Linked DNA regions of Drosophila melanogaster. The protein of the gene in region 1 purifies or fractionates together with the protein of each later gene. This does not show direct contact. Each region holds a gene or a part of one and is shown on either strand. Other genes may lie near its edges.

Region 1 (8,140 bases):
GAATACCTAGTAGCAGGGAAAGTTTTTTTTTTTTTTTTTTTTTTTTTTGTAATTTCTATATAGCATTACATATTTAAAGGGCTTAAAGTTAAGCAATTAATATTCTCACCTAGCATGCAGCATCCTCTCAATCTTCGCGATTTCAACATTAGCCTGACCTATATATGGGCAGACCAAGAAATGCTCGTAGTCAAATTTGGCGAAATACGCAAAGAAGTTTCGAAGGAAGCCCTTGATGACGGGGACGGTCGCCTTTAATTGCTGCAGTCCCAGTTCGCTAAACGATTTTTGTGCAAAGTTGACAACCCACGCTGTAAAGAGACGACTTACTTGGTGAATCCCCCCAAGAAACCGACGATGTACTTACGACCCACGAGCACGGCCTGATTGGCTGCATCCTCTATCTGCAGCATGGCAATGGGGGGCAGCAGGGCCTGGAGCTGCAGGAAGTAAATCACCATCAGTGTAATGCTGTACGTCGATATTTGTTCAGTTAGCTTGCAGCGCTCCAGCCAGTTCTTTACATATATGCACATATATTGAGCTGCAAGGGAGCGAATGCAAAAAGATAACATGGACTCTATCCGGCAGCATGTGCTTACTCAGTGGCTGTGACTCAAATATGTATTTGAGCAGATTTGTATTGCAAAAGCCCATGCTGTTCAGACAAATGTCGCACTCGATACCGGTTGGTAAGTGGCACGTCTTGATGATGGGCACGCGAGCCTGTTCGATGAACTGTTGAAGAAAGTGCAATGGTAAAAACGAACGTATTGCTTAGGGACACAGCTCACATTAATAAGACGCCAGTCCTCGCTGTCGCAGAAGAACTTCCTCATAGCCCGCAGCTTGGCGACGGTAGCGTTGGAAGCTCGATGCTCGAACGTGTGAAATGTGTTGCCTGCCAATTCAGAAGCCAGGTGAAATTGGTAGGAGCTCAATGCAGTACTAACCCGACTTACCGATGTCGACGAAGAGGTCCAGGTCCGAGGATCGATTTCCAATGCCTGTGATGCGGGACCCGAACTTGTAGACTCGCAGTGGTTGTTTGGGAAAGCCCGGCGACAAAAGCTTGCACAGGTCCTGTTCGATAACGTCGTACTCGGGAATCACCTTTAACTTGTCCGCTATTGGGTATTTGTCCTTAAACACATTCGTAATCTCTCCCACAATCATTGCCCTGGCCTCTGCAATGTAAAAAGTATTTATAAAATATCGCTGGCTCTAAAGAAAACATATTAATCAAAGTATTGAGGCTTTATCAATCTAACATTTACAAGTAGTCAGACCACAATTTTTAGACTGCACTTCTGCGTAAGTAAATGAAATGAAATGGTGACCTACTCTTGGGTAGCCGTACTGTTATATGCTGACGAGCCTTCACCTGGGCCTGCTTTTTCTCCTGTTTCGTCTGATGCGTCGGATGCGGCTGGACTGGCTGATTGTTGGGATTGGGTTTTGGATGCTGCTCCGAAAGGTGGGCCACAGCTTTTGCGATGGTGGTGCCCACTATGCGGTTGCTGCAGGAACTACAGCTGAATGTTCGCTTTATTGTCTGCAGCTCCTGGGGCTGGACGAAGGCCACGCCCTCACCCGGTGCGGCCATCTCCTGCGGCAAAACGTATGTGGGATTCCTGTCCAAGTAGCTCTCGATGCCCACCATAATGCGCTCCAGCAGGTTGGCCAGGTGCGGGTCTAGCTGCGGCGGATTCGTCGTCTGGTTCACTGAGTTTAGGGTCTGCAGAAAGAAGTGTGCCTCCATGGTAAGCGGATTCATCTGCACGATCAGCGGGCTTTAGTCTAAAAATTCGAATGATACAAACTCGTACTCACGTAAAGCAGTTTGTTTGGCATCATCTCGGCCATCGTCTTATTCTTCTTCGTGGCCTTTGTTACCGGAGCGGCTATGTTGGGCGCGGTGGAGCCCGGAAGCTGAAAGGTTAATCGAATGCGTTAACTTTTCTGCAACTCGAAAGTTTGCCGCCTTTGTTCGACTGCCAATAACTGTTGATTCGAAAATTCGAATCGAAGCGGTTGAATTTCGTAGGGTGGCCAACTACACCAAAGTTCGCCGGCGGTGTATGCATGTGAGTGTGAGTGTGACAGTGGGTGTACGTGTGCTTTAAGCGACACAATCGCACCGCGATGTACATATTTTTGTAGAAATGTGTGTGCATTTTTCGTCCGGATCACGGCTCCATAAAATAAATCATATCACAGGGCTCAGGGATTTGTGAGTAGAAGTTCCCGCCACTTAAACGTCACTTGTGAAATCGCCATCGACGGTCAACTTTTACTCACACTGGTCTTCCGCGGACGGACCGTCTCAAAGTACTGCCTTTCTGCGTTGGAAAACATCGCCTTTTTCGTCCAAAAGGAGTCCCCAGGTTCGATCCGCATGGCGTTGTGCGTGCGTGCCTTTCTTTTCAAATGATTACGGCTATTAACTTGGGGGCGTTAAGTTGGAAACACGTAAATTGCAGACTGCGATTAGAGTGACCATGAGTAGGAGTTCAAAATCTCCTGACATCATTTTCTTAAAACCTGCTTTGTTTTTTACATTTCTATTTAATATAACTCCTATTTGAATAAAAAAACAAAACAAGTTTAGATGTTAAGATATTAACTACATCCTTTGCTCCAAAGGGAGAGGGGAAGTTATGGAGTTAATTAATTTGCTGTTGGAAATCAATATGGAGTCAGAAATATAATGATTTACTAAACCTTATTGAATCGGTAACGATGCGAATTTATATTAAAATAGCTTTTATGAAACATTCAACAAAAATATTATTAATGTTGGCCCACTTTAGCAACCGGTTAGGTCTACCGGTTGGGCAAGCAAAGATTCACGCCCTGGTTCGAGTCCCAACTAGTCCTGCAAAATACCGCAGCAAGTTTTAGAGAGACCAAGTGCCATTACCTCTCCCACTTCAGTTATCGGTTATGCGGCGTTTAAGTCGACAGCTTGCCGTCTCTAGCTCCGGTGCCTATATAAAGCAGCCCGCTTTCCACATTTCATATTCGTTTTACGTTTGTCAAGCCTCATAGCCGGCAGTTCGAACGTATACGCTCTCTGAGTCAGACCTCGAAATCGTAGCTCTACACAATTCTGTGAATTTTCCTTGTCGCGTGTGAAACACTTCCAATAAAAACTCAATATGGTGAGTACTTTAAAAAAAAATCTAGTGAAATAATGCTGAAAAGAAATTTGTGTGGGCAAAATTCAATGGGCAAAAACGCGATGCGGCTTTTTCTCAAAATGGCGGCCGGCCTGCGTTTTTTCCTCAAAAGTGATGACGTCATGCCTGTTTTTTTTTTTTGTTCGCAATGAGGAATGGCTCTTAAAATCTAGATAAAAAAAATATTCATTATTTCTATGCTGCTGGAACGCTTCATTAATCTTAAAAATTCTAAATTCGGTTACCATGATACTTCGACGCATAACTGTAGATTTTGGATAGAATTAAAGAGAAAATGGCGAGAGAGTAAAATTCCGGCGTCGGCAAAGTAGAGCAAAAAAATCAGTATACCATTTAGCTACCTCTCTCACTCGCACGCAGTGCCGGCTCAAGTTGGGCGCGGCTCTGCAATTATCGATTTTCTTGGGGTGTGTAACTAATCATCCGTTTTCCCTTCCTCCTCATCCACAGCGTGAATGTATCTCTATCCATGTTGGTCAGGCTGGTGTCCAGATTGGAAACGCCTGCTGGGAGCTCTACTGCTTGGAGCACGGCATCCAGCCCGATGGCCAGATGCCGTCTGACAAGACCGTGGGCGGAGGTGATGACTCGTTCAACACCTTCTTCAGCGAGACTGGAGCTGGCAAGCACGTGCCCCGCGCCGTGTTTGTGGATCTGGAACCCACTGTGGTCGATGAGGTCCGTACCGGAACCTACCGTCAGCTGTTCCACCCCGAGCAGCTGATCACTGGTAAGGAGGATGCGGCCAACAACTACGCCCGTGGCCACTACACCATCGGCAAGGAGATCGTCGATCTGGTTCTGGACAGGATCCGCAAGCTGGCCGATCAGTGCACCGGTCTGCAGGGCTTCCTCATCTTCCACTCGTTCGGTGGAGGTACCGGCTCCGGCTTCACCTCGCTGCTGATGGAGCGTCTCTCCGTGGACTACGGCAAGAAGTCCAAGCTGGAGTTCGCCATCTACCCAGCCCCCCAGGTGTCCACTGCCGTGGTCGAGCCCTACAACTCCATCCTGACCACCCACACCACCCTGGAGCATTCCGACTGCGCCTTCATGGTCGACAACGAGGCTATCTACGACATCTGCCGCCGCAATCTGGACATTGAGCGCCCCACGTACACCAACCTGAACCGTCTGATTGGCCAGATCGTGTCCTCGATTACCGCCTCTCTGCGATTCGATGGTGCCCTTAACGTGGATCTGACTGAGTTCCAGACCAACTTGGTGCCCTACCCACGTATTCACTTCCCTCTGGTGACCTACGCCCCCGTTATCTCCGCCGAGAAGGCCTACCACGAGCAGCTGTCGGTGGCTGAGATCACCAACGCCTGCTTCGAGCCGGCCAACCAGATGGTCAAGTGCGATCCCCGTCACGGCAAGTACATGGCCTGCTGCATGCTGTACCGCGGTGATGTTGTGCCCAAGGACGTCAACGCCGCTATTGCCACCATCAAGACCAAGCGCACCATTCAATTCGTCGACTGGTGCCCCACTGGCTTCAAGGTTGGCATCAACTACCAGCCACCCACCGTGGTGCCTGGAGGTGATTTGGCCAAGGTGCAGCGTGCCGTGTGCATGTTGTCCAACACCACGGCCATCGCCGAGGCCTGGGCCCGTCTGGACCACAAGTTCGATCTGATGTACGCCAAGCGTGCCTTCGTCCACTGGTACGTTGGTGAGGGTATGGAGGAGGGAGAGTTCTCCGAGGCCCGTGAGGATTTGGCTGCCCTCGAGAAGGACTACGAGGAGGTCGGCATGGACTCCGGTGACGGCGAGGGTGAGGGCGCTGAGGAGTACTAAGCGTCACGCCACTTCAACGCTCGATGGGAGCGTCATTGGTGGGCGGGGTAACCGTCGAAATCAGTGTTTACGCTTCCAATCGCAACAAAAAATTCACTGCAACACTGAAAAGCATACGAAAACGATGAAGATTGTACGAGAAACCATAAAGTATTTTATCCACAAAGACACGTATAGCAGAAAAGCCAAGTTAACTCGGCGATAAGTTGTGTACACAAGAATAAAATCGGCCAGATTCAGTGTTGTCAGAAATAAGAAAACCCCACTGTTTTTCTTTGCCTTTTCTTTCTCCCAGCGATCATTCATTTCGTGGTGAAAGAACGGGGTCATTGCACGGAGTTTCGACTGCGGGAAAGCAGAGCTGCCGTTCACTTCGTCTATAATTAGCGCTTTCTATTTTCCCCGATTCGGGCCGCTGCTGCGCTTTTCCGCCTGCTGTTTGTGGCAAGTGTAGCAGCAGGCTGTGCACGCAGTGTGGCATGCACTTGGCTTTCCACCGTTGGTATCGATTCTCTGGGACGATGAGTCATTCCTTTCGGGGCCACAGCATAATCGTTGCCAGCTCACCGAAATGGTGACTTCATTTCTTAACTGCCGTCAAGCATGCGATTGTACATACATACATATTTACATATGTACATATTTATGTGACTATGGTAGGTCGATATAATAGCAATCAACGCAAGCAAATGTGTCAGTCCTGCTTACAGGAACGATTCTATTTAGTAATTTTCGTTGTATAAAGTAATTATGTATGTATGTAAGCCCCATAAATCTGAAACAATTAGGCAAAACCATGCGAAGCTTCCGAATTTAACTACGAGTCTACGAGTTAAATATGTATGTATGTACGTATTGAAGTGACCGCGTTTGTACATACACATTATGTATGTACTTTGTGCAGGCCTTTAATGGGGGTTGATTTGCCAAAACGAAATTGGAGCCTAGGTAAACCGGTTGGTTGTTGTGTTGTACTTGTAAGTATGTAGACACATACATACATAATCCGCCTGCTCCGTTTGCGCCCAATGCGGCATTTTCATGAAACAGACCGAAGAGGCAGCTGCTATCGAATTTCCAGAAATACCCAGGCAAACGGGCAGGAAATGAAGCACGGGAGGCAGATGTGCTTGGAAAATGTGTACACTGTATTGACGAGAAATGCACAAACGCACACATTGCATGTAAGAACGTGCATACATACATATATGTATGTACATACATACATAAAATAGCATTTACCGGTAGAGACTGGCGCCTTTATTGAGGTTATGTCTGATGTCATTTGGTACAAATGTGCAAAGAAATGGGTCTTTTTTTTGCCGTTGAAATATAGTTTACCTAACAGCACGCACCTAAGACTATTTAAGAAACAGTTTCAGCCTTAAAATCACGCTTTTTCGGCGATAAATGCAAACAGTTGGCTTCATGAAATCATAGCCAGCTGCCAACGCAGATTTGGTATGGCGATATGACTATATATGTACATACATACGTACGTACATACATGGATAGTGTCAAACGCCAACGCATTTTTATAATGACGACACTTCGGAACCGGCTCACAGAGATCTGCTCAGAAAGGTGTGGGTGGATAAGGCGGTTTCGTCGGCGGTTTTATGGCCAGCAAGCCCCCACAATCGAGCTCTGATGAATACGGATGAATGTGTAAGCCGAAATGTTTGATCAATAAAGTAAAGTTCGGAAATATAAAATGCTTCGCTTTGCAAAATAAATAAGAATACAGAACACATACGTACATACATATGTATGTATGTCTGAACTGCAAGAGTGGCATTTTTTGCCACTCAACCAATTTGAGTGTCGGGTGCCACTCCCTTACGGGTACTCACTTATAACCTTCGTGTGTTTTGCAAGCACTCGGGTGCGCGCGCACCCGAATCATTGCGGAACTCTTCGTCGCGAGTGCCGAACACACTCGCCACTCAGAAAAAAGGGAAACAGTGAGAAAAAGGCAAGTACGCAAAAAGTTTTGAGTGGCAAAAATAGTCATAATTCGAAGCCAAAGAAAGAGGTCGCAATTATGGAAGAAAAGGCAGATATTATAAAAACTAAAATTTTGAATGGAACTTACTCGGTTGCCATTCAACGTAAGGGAAAGAGTGTGATTTGGAGCATTTTATGTGACATTTTAAAGGAAAATGGAACTGTTCTTGACGGATGGCTGTACTGCAGTAAATGCCGCAAAGTGCTCAAATTTGTACCTAATCACATTTCCAATTTATCCCGACATAAATGTTGCCTGACATTAAGACGACCAACGGAGTTAAAAATTGTTTCTGAAAGCGACAAGGAAGAGGCCATTGAAGTATGCACCCAATGGGTTGTGCAAGATTGTCAGTCGTTTTCTGCGGTAACCGGTGCTGGATTTAAAAATTTGGTACAGTTTTTCTTAAAAATTGGCGCAGTTTATGGGGAACACGTGGACGTCGATGACTTACTCCCTGATCCAACAACATTAAGTCTTAAGGCCCATTCGGAGGCAGAAGAAAAGGGTACTCTAGTCTCGGCCGCGATAAAAGAAGCTGTAGATAGTGATAGTGGAGGAACTATGACAGCAACGGCAGATTTAATTAAAAAAAAAATTATGAATGGAGCTTACACTGTTGCCAATCAACGTAAGGGAAAAAGTGTGATTTGGAGCATTTTATGTGACATTTTTAAGGAAGATGAAACTGTTCTGGACGGATGGCTGTTTTGCAGTAAATGCCGGAAAGTGCTCAAATTTATACAAAATCACACTTCCAATTTATCCCGCCATAAATGTTGCTTACAATTGAGACGACCAACGGAGTTAAAAATCGTTTCTGAAATCGACAGGGAAGAAGCCATTGAAAAATGCACCCAATGGGTTGTGCAAGATCGTCAGTCGTTTTCTGCAGTAACCGGGGCTGGATTTAAAAACTTGGTACAGTTTTTCTTAAAAATTGGCGCAGTTTATGGGGACCAGGTAGACGTCGATGACTTACTACCTGATCCAACAACATGTTGAATGCATACCTACATATGCCAATATTGATTTGTTGAAATTTGTAAAACATCGATACTATCATTGTTTTGAAAAAAAAAAAAAACGGTAGAACTTTAGCTTAGCGTGAACCGAAGTTTTTATACCG
Region 2 (11,026 bases), on another chromosome or scaffold:
TTCCCTCATCCTGGTCTGTAAGCTGATCTCCATTAGACTCAGTTTTCACATCGCTTTCTTCCAGCTGCTGTTCAATGGAATCCGCTTTCATATCCACGTCTCCAATTGCTTTCCCCTCTATGTGGTTAGAATCCCGGCCAGAATCACCATTTTCCACGCTGGCCGGATTTTCCATCTCAGCCGGCGGTGTTGCCTGCGCTGATTCCATTATCGGATCGGTTATTTGATCATCTATTTAAATTTTACAATGAATTTCGCGTACTTTTGCTATACAACAAAAGTTTGATATTTGCAACCAGCTGTTAGTTTGGAAAAGTTGGCAGCCCTCCTTGAGCAGTATGACCATTGCTGCCACTCGGCGCGAAGGGTAACACTAATGTTTGTTTACATTGCAATTTGCTTAATTTGTTAGAATTTTAAACATGGTTTGCGCTTTGGGTATTGAAGGCAGTGCCAATAAAATTGGCATTGGCATAATTCGAGATGGTAAAGTACTGGCGAACGTACGTAGAACGTACATTACCCCACCAGGAGAAGGTATTGCCACATTCTAACCCGCCGGCTAGTACAGATTTAATCATAACCAATCATTCAACAGGTTTCCTGCCCAAGGAAACGGCCAAACATCACAGGGAAGCCATCCTGGGCTTGGTGGAATCCAGTCTAAAGGAAGCCCAATTGAAATCCTCTGATCTAGATGTTATTTGTTACACAAAAGGCCCAGGAATGGCTCCTCCTTTGCTGGTTGGCGCCATTGTGGCTCGCACTTTGTCGCTCTTGTGGAATATCCCGCTGCTGGGCGTAAATCACTGCATTGGACACATCGAGATGGGTCGCCTGATCACCGGTGCCCAGAATCCTACAGTTCTCTATGTGAGCGGTGGAAACACACAGGTTATTGCCTACTCCAATAAGCGATATCGCATCTTTGGCGAAACTATAGACATTGCAGTGGGCAATTGCCTGGATCGATTCGCCCGCATCATTAAGCTGTCCAACGATCCTAGTCCGGGCTACAACATCGAGCAGCTGGCCAAGTCGAGCAATCGTTATATTAAACTGCCCTATGTGGTTAAGGGCATGGATGTCAGCTTCTCGGGGATTTTATCCTACATCGAGGACCTGGCAGAGCCGGGCAAGAGGCAAAATAAGAGAAAAAAGCCACAGGAAGAAGAGGTCAATAATTACAGCCAAGCCGATCTTTGCTATTCGCTGCAGGAGACCATCTTCGCCATGTTGGTGGAGATCACAGAGCGCGCCATGGCACACTGCGGCTCAAATGAGGTTGGTTGCAACAGTTTTCCGAAATTAATCTATGAGTTAACCGACTTCTTTTCAGGTCCTTATAGTTGGAGGTGTGGGTTGCAATGAGCGACTCCAGGAGATGATGCGTATTATGTGCGAGGAACGCGGAGGCAAACTCTTTGCCACTGATGAACGTTACTGCATAGACAACGGACTAATGATTGCCCATGCTGGTGCAGAAATGTTCCGCTCTGGCACTAGGATGCCCTTTGAGGAATCTTATGTGACTCAGCGATTTCGAACGGACGAAGTGCTGGTCAGCTGGCGGGATGACTAATCACCACAAGAACTTATTTCTGTGCATCGTTTGTTTATTAAATAACTAGTGTCCATAATAACTTCATATTTGTAAAATGCATGTGTTTAGGATGTGAACGAATTAACCCACTTAAAGGGCCTGTTCCTTGCCCGTCCACTGGGGCTTAATTTCCAAAGGGTAAACGCGCTTACCCTCGATGACATAGACAGCTCCGTTCTTGTCCTTCTCCAGGACATTCAGAATGCATCGAGAGACATCAGCGGCACTCTGCTTGTTTAGCCTATCCAGGATCCTATAGGTCTCGTCACTCGTTTCCGGGAAGATGATCTTCTCCGTAAAGTTGGTGAACATGTCCGTCATTGTAGCTCCAGGACAAACAGTCACAAACTTGATGCCCGAGCGTTGATAGTACTTTTCGTTCTAATTAAGAAAGAGACTTAAATGAAAAACCTAATTCAAAAGATATGTAAGAAATTCTTGTTACCGCCAAGCACCGGGTGAAGTTGATGATGCCAGCCTTGGTGGCTCCGTAAACGGGAATGATGAACATTGGATCCAGACCCACCACCGAGCTCATGTTAACCACAATGCCACCCTTGCCGCCATTATCCTTGCCCATGTAGGGCAATGCACTCAGTGTGGAATTGATGATTCCACCGAGATTTACCAACAGAGTCCTCTGCACATCCTTGTCGTTAAAAATCCCGGCTACATTGACCACAATATCGATGTTACCGAAGGTCTTGGCTATCTCCTCATAGGTGGCTTCCACACCCTTCTTGTTCGCCACATCCATCTTGATGATCATTACGCTTTGGGTGGGATGAGCGGCCCTAAGTTTTACAAACTCCTCCAGATTATCCTGCAAATCAATGATGGCCACCTTCTAGGAAGCACTCGCTTTAGAAATTACTTCACGTAATTATGTGTAAAACAACCAACCGCTGCTCCAGCGGCCAGGAGCTGCTTGGACACCTGCAGTCCAATGCCTCCAGCTCCACCGGTCACCACTGCATTCTTGCCGCGAAAGGACATCTTGGTCTGGCTGATTCGTGTAGTAGTCGGTGGTATTCCTTGTGGCTTCATCAAGCACTGAGCTCCTCAGTTGCACTGCTGACTTGGAGCTGTAATGTTCGCCGCTTTTATACCTATTTCCCAAGGGCTATATGATATATCGTTGAGTGACTTTGGTTCGACTGCAATCAATAGCTAGTTTTCCACCTGCTCTGGGTTAGGATTATGCAACTTATGCCCATATATCAATTTCCATCCCCATCTGGTCGCTGTAGCGTTCAGTCTGCTTCACACCGCTCCGGTTTTTCGATGTCAGCTTTGCATCAGTGATAATGTCATTGTGTAGATAAAGCAATGATCTCTTAATAACTATCTTCCAGTGAAATCTTTGCTTTTAAGAAGGTACACATGTTGGGCATTTTTCAAAGATCTTACAATTAAATGTATATTTCGATTTACAAAACCATCTTAATTGCTTTAAAATTTTGGTTTTTTAAATTGTATTTCCTCCCAATACAAATTTTAGCAATGCAAATATTTTAAAGTGTATTTATTCAAGCAAAATTCTTGTGAAAACATAACATATATCTACATATGTATGTCGTATATCTTTGGTTTCCATATGTGATATTTAAATTTCTTTCACAAATTGTAATATTAAAAGTTTATCTGTTATCTTAAGACTACCAAACATGGGTTTGATTGCCATGAAATGTATATAAATTTGATTTGGATTTACTTTTGAACTCTTTTTGGGCCGCTTCAAAATTTTACGTATCAAAGGACAAAGAAGGATAAACAAAGTAAAGGAACTCAAAAATTATAATCAAAAATATAAGTTTATTTGTAAGCACTTAAATTATCACAAACTTATTATATACACAAAGATAAATTAGATTGGGAGACATTAACTAGGGAAACACAAAAGTTAGAAATACAGATTTATGAGAGGGTGAAAAACGGTGGTTACCCCATCTAGTGGGCATTGTCGTAGGTGTCCTTGTGCTGGTAGCCACTCACATATCCGGATCCATCGACCACGTTCCGTCTGCCCGCGATACCCTTGCCCTTTCCGGAGGCATCGAAACGCTCCTTGTGGGAACCGGTGTACTTGCTCGTATCCGTCAATCGATCCACGGCAGCTGCGGCTTTTCCAGCCTAAAAATGGTAACAAAATGTTGATTAGGTTTTCAATAAAGGCATAAAGTATATGGTTATGACTTTCAAAGGTTTAAAAAGATATTTTTTAAGAACTTCTGTAAGAAAACTACTTTAACAATTGATAGTTTAAATGAGTCAAAAAAAAATCATTTAAATTTTGTCATATCTAAATGGTCTTCTCGAAGTTCTTTACACTTTAAAATCAATCTTAATCATTTGACTTATATAGATCATATTTTTCACAACCAATTTATCAAACCCACCGAAACGGACACAACTCCTGGAGCTCCACAACTGGCCAACTTTTGCTTGATCTCCGACAGCTCCACCTTTTTCGTCTTGGCCAGATCGTCCAGGAATTTGTTGTAGTCGCTGAGCGAGATCTTCATGGCCTTGAACTTCTTGAAGTGGATGCCTGTATCCGTGGTGGTGATCTTCTTGTCGATAACTTTGGCCTGTTTCATCCACTTGTCACTCTGCGACAGCGTTATCAGCTTGCCATCGGACTTGGAGTCCCCGAACTTGGAGAAGGCCTTGAACTGATCCGAAAAGCTAACCTTGGGCTCATCCTCCAGCGCCAATTGGGCCAACTCGGTAGCGGGCACCTCAGGAGTTGGCGCTGGGGAGGGGCTTCCATTTGCTGCAGCTACCTCGGACATGGTGGATCTGAAAAATATATTTAATATTATATATATTTTTTTAACCTTTACTGAACCCTACAGGTGTTTTAATAGATGCCCAGTAATAAATAAACAACTACGGACAAAGAACCTTCAATTTTACAGATGGACTGAGGATCATTTATTATTAATAATATGCCTAGCCTGATAGGTCATTGTTTTGTTTAACATTTTGTAGTGGTTTCTTCCAACACGCAACTTTTCCGCTCCTGCGTAATCGGTTGACTACGGTTGTCACCTACGCAGTTCCTCACCTGTGGGCCACAACGCTCACCAACATTGCGGTGGGTCTTGTCCGTCACTGTCAACTATCTACATATGTAGGTGCTATTCCCAGACGTATCTTTGCGAACACCTTATCAGTACTTTACTCACTTCGCTTTCGCAATGATATCACAACCCATGCTGAACTGGACAAAGGCAAAGCTATACCCACCCAAAGCTAGGCCAAAGCTCTCTCAGCTAGATTTCGAGAGATGGAAATCTAAAGGCAAATTGGGAGAGACTCAATCATTAGATGGCGTCATCGGTTTGGGTCCCCCATCTCCCAACGCAGCTAATTATCGCCTTTTGGCAAACCCAAATACACAAAACAAATAGTCAACAGGTTTGGCTCACATGGGTTACTCTATGGGGGTCAGAACTTAGCGCTAGCTTGCTAGATCTTTTATGATTAGTCTCTAGCATGCAGTTATCATGGGTTTTAATAATCCTAAGGCGATATTAGGTATTTACGGTACAGCTATACAGTTATAGATATACCCTAAAATTATTAAAATGAATCACTTTTACGCTTATTAAAATAACAAAAAGAGCAATAAATATTTTACGCATCGCCAGAAATTCCTCGCTTAATTTGTTACCCACCGAACGTGGCATAAATTTGGATGATAATTTAGTTTTAAAATTGCTTGTAGCATAAATTGTCCTCTTGTTTACAGGCTACCCAACACGAAGTCGAATCCTCAGACCCATCCCCATCATTCCATAAACAGTAAATAAAACGTGAGCATTTATTGGCGGAGCCATTAATTACGCACCACTTAAGGTTGCAAGTTGGAGCCCCAGGAGAGATGGAAGCCGTTTGGGCAAGCATTTAATGCGGCGATAAGATGCGACTGCAACCAGTTTGGAGTCCTCTATCCGTGAGATATGATGCCACGGCTTGTGCCCGCACAGATGCGAATCGAAATCGAAGTGGACGGGCGGGGTAGAATCACCATGACCTTGATGCAGCCCGTCGAGCATGTCAAATACTATTTTACCACCCCCTAGCCCCATTCGCAATCCAAATCGAAAAATGAGTGCTTATGTCATCGCCTCATTACGCCGGCTCTTGATTACGCTGTTCTGGGATCAGCTTTGAATAGCTCTGGGGTGAGGCAATTTAATAGCCCATATTCCCCAGATAATCCATCGAAATGATCTATGTAAACTGAGTGGTTAATTGGGAACATTGCATGCATAGCAAGTCTGCCGGTCATTAATCATCTTATTGGTCTCAAGACCAGGGCCATTGAACTTGAACTCCGCTCAAGACGATACAAATTATCCGGTCCCAGTTCCCGGACAAGACTAATGGAACCCTTTACTCCGCCCCTACATGTAATTGGAAGCCATAAATACTCGGAAACAAGAAAAGTTGACAAACTACACCACAAAAGAAGTTGGAATATGCAAGAAGAGTTTTAAGATGGCAAAAAACAAGAGGCTATCGACTAGGAAATTACCTGTAAAATCAAAACTAATAAGAAATATCTTTAGGTTATCTATGGTGGCTTTCAAAATGCTTTTTTTCACAATAGAATTCATTTTGTAATATTAGTAAAATCAATCTTTTTTAACTACCATCAGCCAATGCAAATAGTTCGGATTGTTAGATCCAATTTTCTACACTAAGATTGACGTTATTAGTTTGATTTTTAATAGAAGCCCGATTGCTAATAATTTTCTGAAAGGTTTTACAAAAATCTAAATATTATAATTATTCGAGGGAAATACTAACAGTTTAAGATGATCGTAATCAATTTAAAAAGCGGAAGTATTAAATCATCGCAATCGACAATGGAAAGACTCATCCTATGATACCCTGATCAGACTTGGATACTATATTCACACAAAATAAATTATTTTCTTAATATTCTTTGGCAACTCAAAGTGCAGATACCCCTCGTGAAATGAATGGCAGAAAATCAGGCAGTCTGATGGGGAGCGTGGATAGTCTAAATCAGAAATAATCCGCTTGCTTGTCAGACCATAAATAATTCGATTCTTCTCATTTCCCATCTCTGTTTTGGATTCTTTCTCTGTATTTTCGATTTGGAGAACAAGTTCTCATCCAGCTCCAGTCGAGCATTGCGAATTCGTTGCCAACATTTTAATTAGTTTTCTACCAAAATGGTAAAAGTTAATTGGGCAATATATATGACATATGACCACAATTTGAATAGGAATATGAATGAATATTATAGATAGCCATTTTCGAAAAGAATGGACTTCCTGGAGAGGGGAACGCAATTATAAACCCAACCTACCTCAAGTGGACCGCTGGAAAGCGAATGGAGGAAGCGAAATTTGGGTCATCTCGATGTATATTTATAAAACAAACGACTTTGGGGGGAGAAACATGAAATACTGCACCACATATGAGTTTACGTGTGTTAATAAACACACAGAAATATTAGCACCTCGGACTGAATGCATAAATTAAAGAGAACTTTTATTTTGGGGGGAACAAAACAGGAAGTCATGGGCATTCTGATAGAGCACGCAACGCAATAGAGAAATCATTGACTTAGGAGGGGGACTTATGCTCGGGACATAATATGTGTATGAAATGTGTAGCTACATCACCACTAGCCCAGATGACATCACTGGGAGCTGGGAAACGCGCAAGCGCCAGTTTGGAGAAGGGGTTTCCTGGGGGGTCTCGGTACTGGAATTTCAGACTGATGATTCAAATGCACGCATATATACACACGGAAGCGGGGAAAATGCGCCTAAATCAGGACCTCCCAAAGGAAATCGAAAACAATGGTGCTCCCCAGGAACAAAAGAAAAGGGGAACGCGATGCGCGGTAAGTGGGTCAAAATCTGCTCTTGAAAATATGAACCTGCTACTCATAAAATGAATAAAAAAAATATCCTTGGCTCGGAGTCTGCTTATAGATGCAGGATACAGTAACATTTTAAAAAAAAAAATAAATCCAACGAACTAGATTATTTTTCTCGAAACGTTTCCAACTTACATTTGTTATTAAAAAAGTTCCAAAAATTCTTGAATATATTTCCAAAAAAATATTTGTTTTATTCCTCGGCTATTTTCCAATCACTTTAAGGCAAACGCGCGAATGCTGGCGATGTCGAAACTCAACTGTTTGGACAAATGCGCAGCCAGTGGCTAGCGAAGGCCCAAGCGGCGTATGAGTGATATTTTTGTTTTGAGTGAGCTTTCGCTGAGTGAAATAGAAACTCAAAAAGGAAAATCCTCCTTAGCATTTTATCCAAAGAAAAGATGGCAAATCGTTGGTGAGCTAACATAAATTCCAAAACTTTCTGAATGAGATAAGGAAAACGATTTGGATCTTATAGACACTTTTACTGACCCCCCAATTTTTTTTCAAGCGATGACTTCATTTCGCAAAATTTTATACACGAAAACTAACAACGAAAGCCACACGACGAAGCCATTTATCAGAAAGAAAAAGAAACAAACGAGACCTAAAAACAACTCAGAATAACAAAAGTGACGCTACACACCAGAATCTTATCAAACCAACAAGTTACACTCAAAATTTTGGTTTGTTGTGAGTGAAATTCTAGGGAATAAAGCTTAAAGCTTTTCCTGATTTTATATTGTCTAAAGAGAAGGGGAGGGGTTCGCCACACAGTCTGAGCTACTAAAACAGTGAGTTTGTAGTCAGTAAATTTGTTTAAGCGCAAAAAAACAAAAAACGATGCGTGAAATTGTTGGGCAAAAAACACACACAACAAGTGCCAGACAATTCGAATAATGAAGGGTGTATCTTTTGGGCTTACTTAGACGTGTTTTTGGGGTGTGACTTGGGCTATACTAACCAGTGAGCTCATGCTTAGCTATGCAAATGAGTACTTATTTCAAGCGGTTAAGATTTGTCGACCGCCTTACTAGGTAAATGGGTTCTTTGAACTTTTCTATTTTGGACATTCAGGAAAAAGTAAAAGTCAAATAGGAAATCATAAGGAAATTACTTCGCACTCCATAAAATGATTAAACACATACTGAAACAACAAGCCCGTCCTAAACCCAAAACAAACCCTAAACGAACGAAAAAAAAACCTTTGACATTGATTTATGAGAACTGACGGTCGGAAGAATTTGGTAAGTTTTTGTGGCCAACTCGATGAAGTCATAGCCCTGGCCCAAAACCAAAATACAAAGCAACTGAAAGACTAACTTGGAAAACGAAATACCCTGAGGAGACTTCTAATTAATTTCGTAAATTAAGCATTAGGTATTACAAACAGAGGTCCATTGATTATTATTATTTAATATACAATGTTTGATATGTAATTTAAATATTTCATTCTACAATATTCATTTAGTTTATTGACCAGATGACGTTTAGAATATTCTTTAATTAAAATTAGAAAGAGTTAAATTTCCTATATTTATGGAATGTTTTACAGCTGAAATACCTTTTAGACTGATTCGTTTGCTCTTTTTTTCTAGGACATAAAATCAAAGTACTCCCAGTCCTGAAAAATGAAAAACATGATTCTTGCCACCTGGCCTATCTTAAGTGCACCTTTAATTAGCCACGAAGGCAGTTCAAAGAACCAATGGTGGTACACAAATCAGGGCACAGTCCACTCGAGACAGAACAAAGGGAGTGAACCAAGTGGACCGGACTATATTGCCAATCCAACTTCAATTCCAGGCCAGAACTAACCAGCTCATTAAGCCAGGCTGGAATGGTTGTAGAGAATTGGGCTTTGATTGAAACTGAGTGCCAACGGGGCTAACATTAAAACGCACTTATCAGCCGAGCCGTCAAGGCCAATCCAATGTGGTTCTTGCAGTTGCTCCTCCTCCTCCTCCTAATCGGGAGCGAAGTTTAAGCACCAGAGATCTGAGGCATCCGATAAGCCCGCTGCTAAAAATAAAAATGACCAGCGAAGGAGGAACAGGAGATACCAATGCAGCTGCAGTGCATCAGAGGCGGATGGGAAACATATTCTTAGGGGGTTTTCTTAGTGTCCGGTTGAAATAAGTATATATCTTCAGTGTATACTATAAGGTGTCTAAAAATTCACATTATATTATTTATTTAGCGGACTTAACGATTTAATTAACCCTTTTCTGTGTCATATTTGTAAGCTCTTCGCATAAAACATATATTTCTTATGTACATACATATGTATCTAACCAAGTATTATAATTTTTAAGGGTACTTATGACCCCCCTAAGACCCCCATTTTGTTCGCCACTGGAGTGCATGACTCCCGTGTCCAAGCTGTGGCCAAATGTGGCCCTTGGCCTTCACTCACCTTGAGATGCCGTTGTTGTCGTCGTCGGTTGTTGCCACAGTTGTTGCATTTGCTGTTGCAGTTGAAGTTGCTGTTGTTGTCGTGGCCCCGTTGCAGTGTGCGAACAAAAAGGAGGCTGAGATGCCACAATGCTGTGGCAGCAACAACGATTGCATATCAATTACACGCTGGTCTGGATGCGGTCTTTGGCCTTGATGGTCCACCCAGCCAAGGCCCTTGGCTCGCTTGCAGATCCAGATGCAGATGCAGATGGAGATGCCAGGCAGCGATTGCTCCTCCCGCTGCGGAGAACCAGGGTCTGCCTCCCTCATTTGGGCCCACTCCAGCCTTGGCCACAATTAAACCAAATTGACAACGCCTTCACGAGGCGTCGATCCCCAAAAGGGGAGTGAAAGGCGGAGCTGCAATGTCCGTTAACGACACAAGTGGACACGACGACGCATTCGCATCTCCTCGTTTGCATTGAAGTGCATCTGATGGATACATTTGGAGAAAAAATTAATTGGCTGTTTACTATTTTAAAATGTGACAGATATTATTACTATTAGGTTATTCTTTAATGAAATACGTGTGCTTGTACAAATTTGATGAATTCTATTTAAGTACAATAAACCACCTTTTTTATCAATAATAAAATATTTTTTTAATGATTGTCATAATCATAAAATTAAAATTTCAGGAATTTAAGAACAGTCTTTTTTAGCAATATTATTATTTATATGCATTTAAATTTATGTTTTAAGCTTTGTACAAATCATTATTAAACAAATTACGAACTACTTATTTTTGGATTTAATTTAAGTCATAAAAATCACGTTACTATATTAGGGTAAAAGAGCATAAAACATTTGTATACTCTCTTAGATAATAATATGGCATACTTTTAGAATTTTTTCGCAGTGTATCAGAATAGAAGCATCTGACCGGCAGGAACCTCAGCCAGAACCAGAACCTAGAACTCGCGAAAGAACCTGCTGGGTATAAAAGGATGAAGACCTAGGCTCAGAATCAACAGTTACCAGTGAACTGACGAACAAGACTCACTCGAAGCAATCTTCCACTGCCCAACCATGAAGTA

The links.
Region 2: the proteins of alphaTub84B (region 1) and ringer purify together in Drosophila melanogaster (affinity purification with western blotting, with the first as the bait; one study listed by BioGRID). This does not show direct contact.

Annotation. Positions count from the first base shown.
Region 1 is NT_033777.3:7,083,581-7,091,720, forward strand, and holds alphaTub84B (alpha-Tubulin at 84B), read left to right. Parts: upstream 1-3,018; 5' UTR 3,019-3,161; coding exon 3,162-3,164; intron 3,165-3,653; coding exon 3,654-5,003; 3' UTR 5,004-5,259; downstream 5,260-8,140. Other genes in the region: tailor, read right to left, coding at 1-6, 110-311, 368-544, 603-738, 795-901, 954-1,187, 1,345-1,777, 1,834-1,932 and 1 more. UniProt on the Drosophila melanogaster protein: Tubulin is the major constituent of microtubules, a cylinder consisting of laterally associated linear protofilaments composed of alpha- and beta-tubulin heterodimers.
Region 2 is NT_037436.4:16,351,632-16,362,657, forward strand, and holds ringer (ringmaker), read right to left. Parts: upstream 7,798-11,026; 5' UTR 7,668-7,797; intron 4,818-7,667; exon of another isoform or gene 4,674-4,817; intron 4,561-4,673; exon of another isoform or gene 4,460-4,560; intron 4,406-4,459; 5' UTR 4,399-4,405; coding exon 4,003-4,398; intron 3,737-4,002; coding exon 3,554-3,736; 3' UTR 3,115-3,553; downstream 1-3,114. Other genes in the region: Golgin104 (golgin 104), read right to left, coding at 1-208; Tcs3 (Threonyl-carbamoyl synthesis 3), read left to right, coding at 423-537, 599-1,284, 1,340-1,582; Pdh (photoreceptor dehydrogenase), read right to left, coding at 1,694-1,984, 2,049-2,450, 2,507-2,650; Cpr72Ea (cuticular protein 72Ea), read left to right, coding at 11,019-11,026.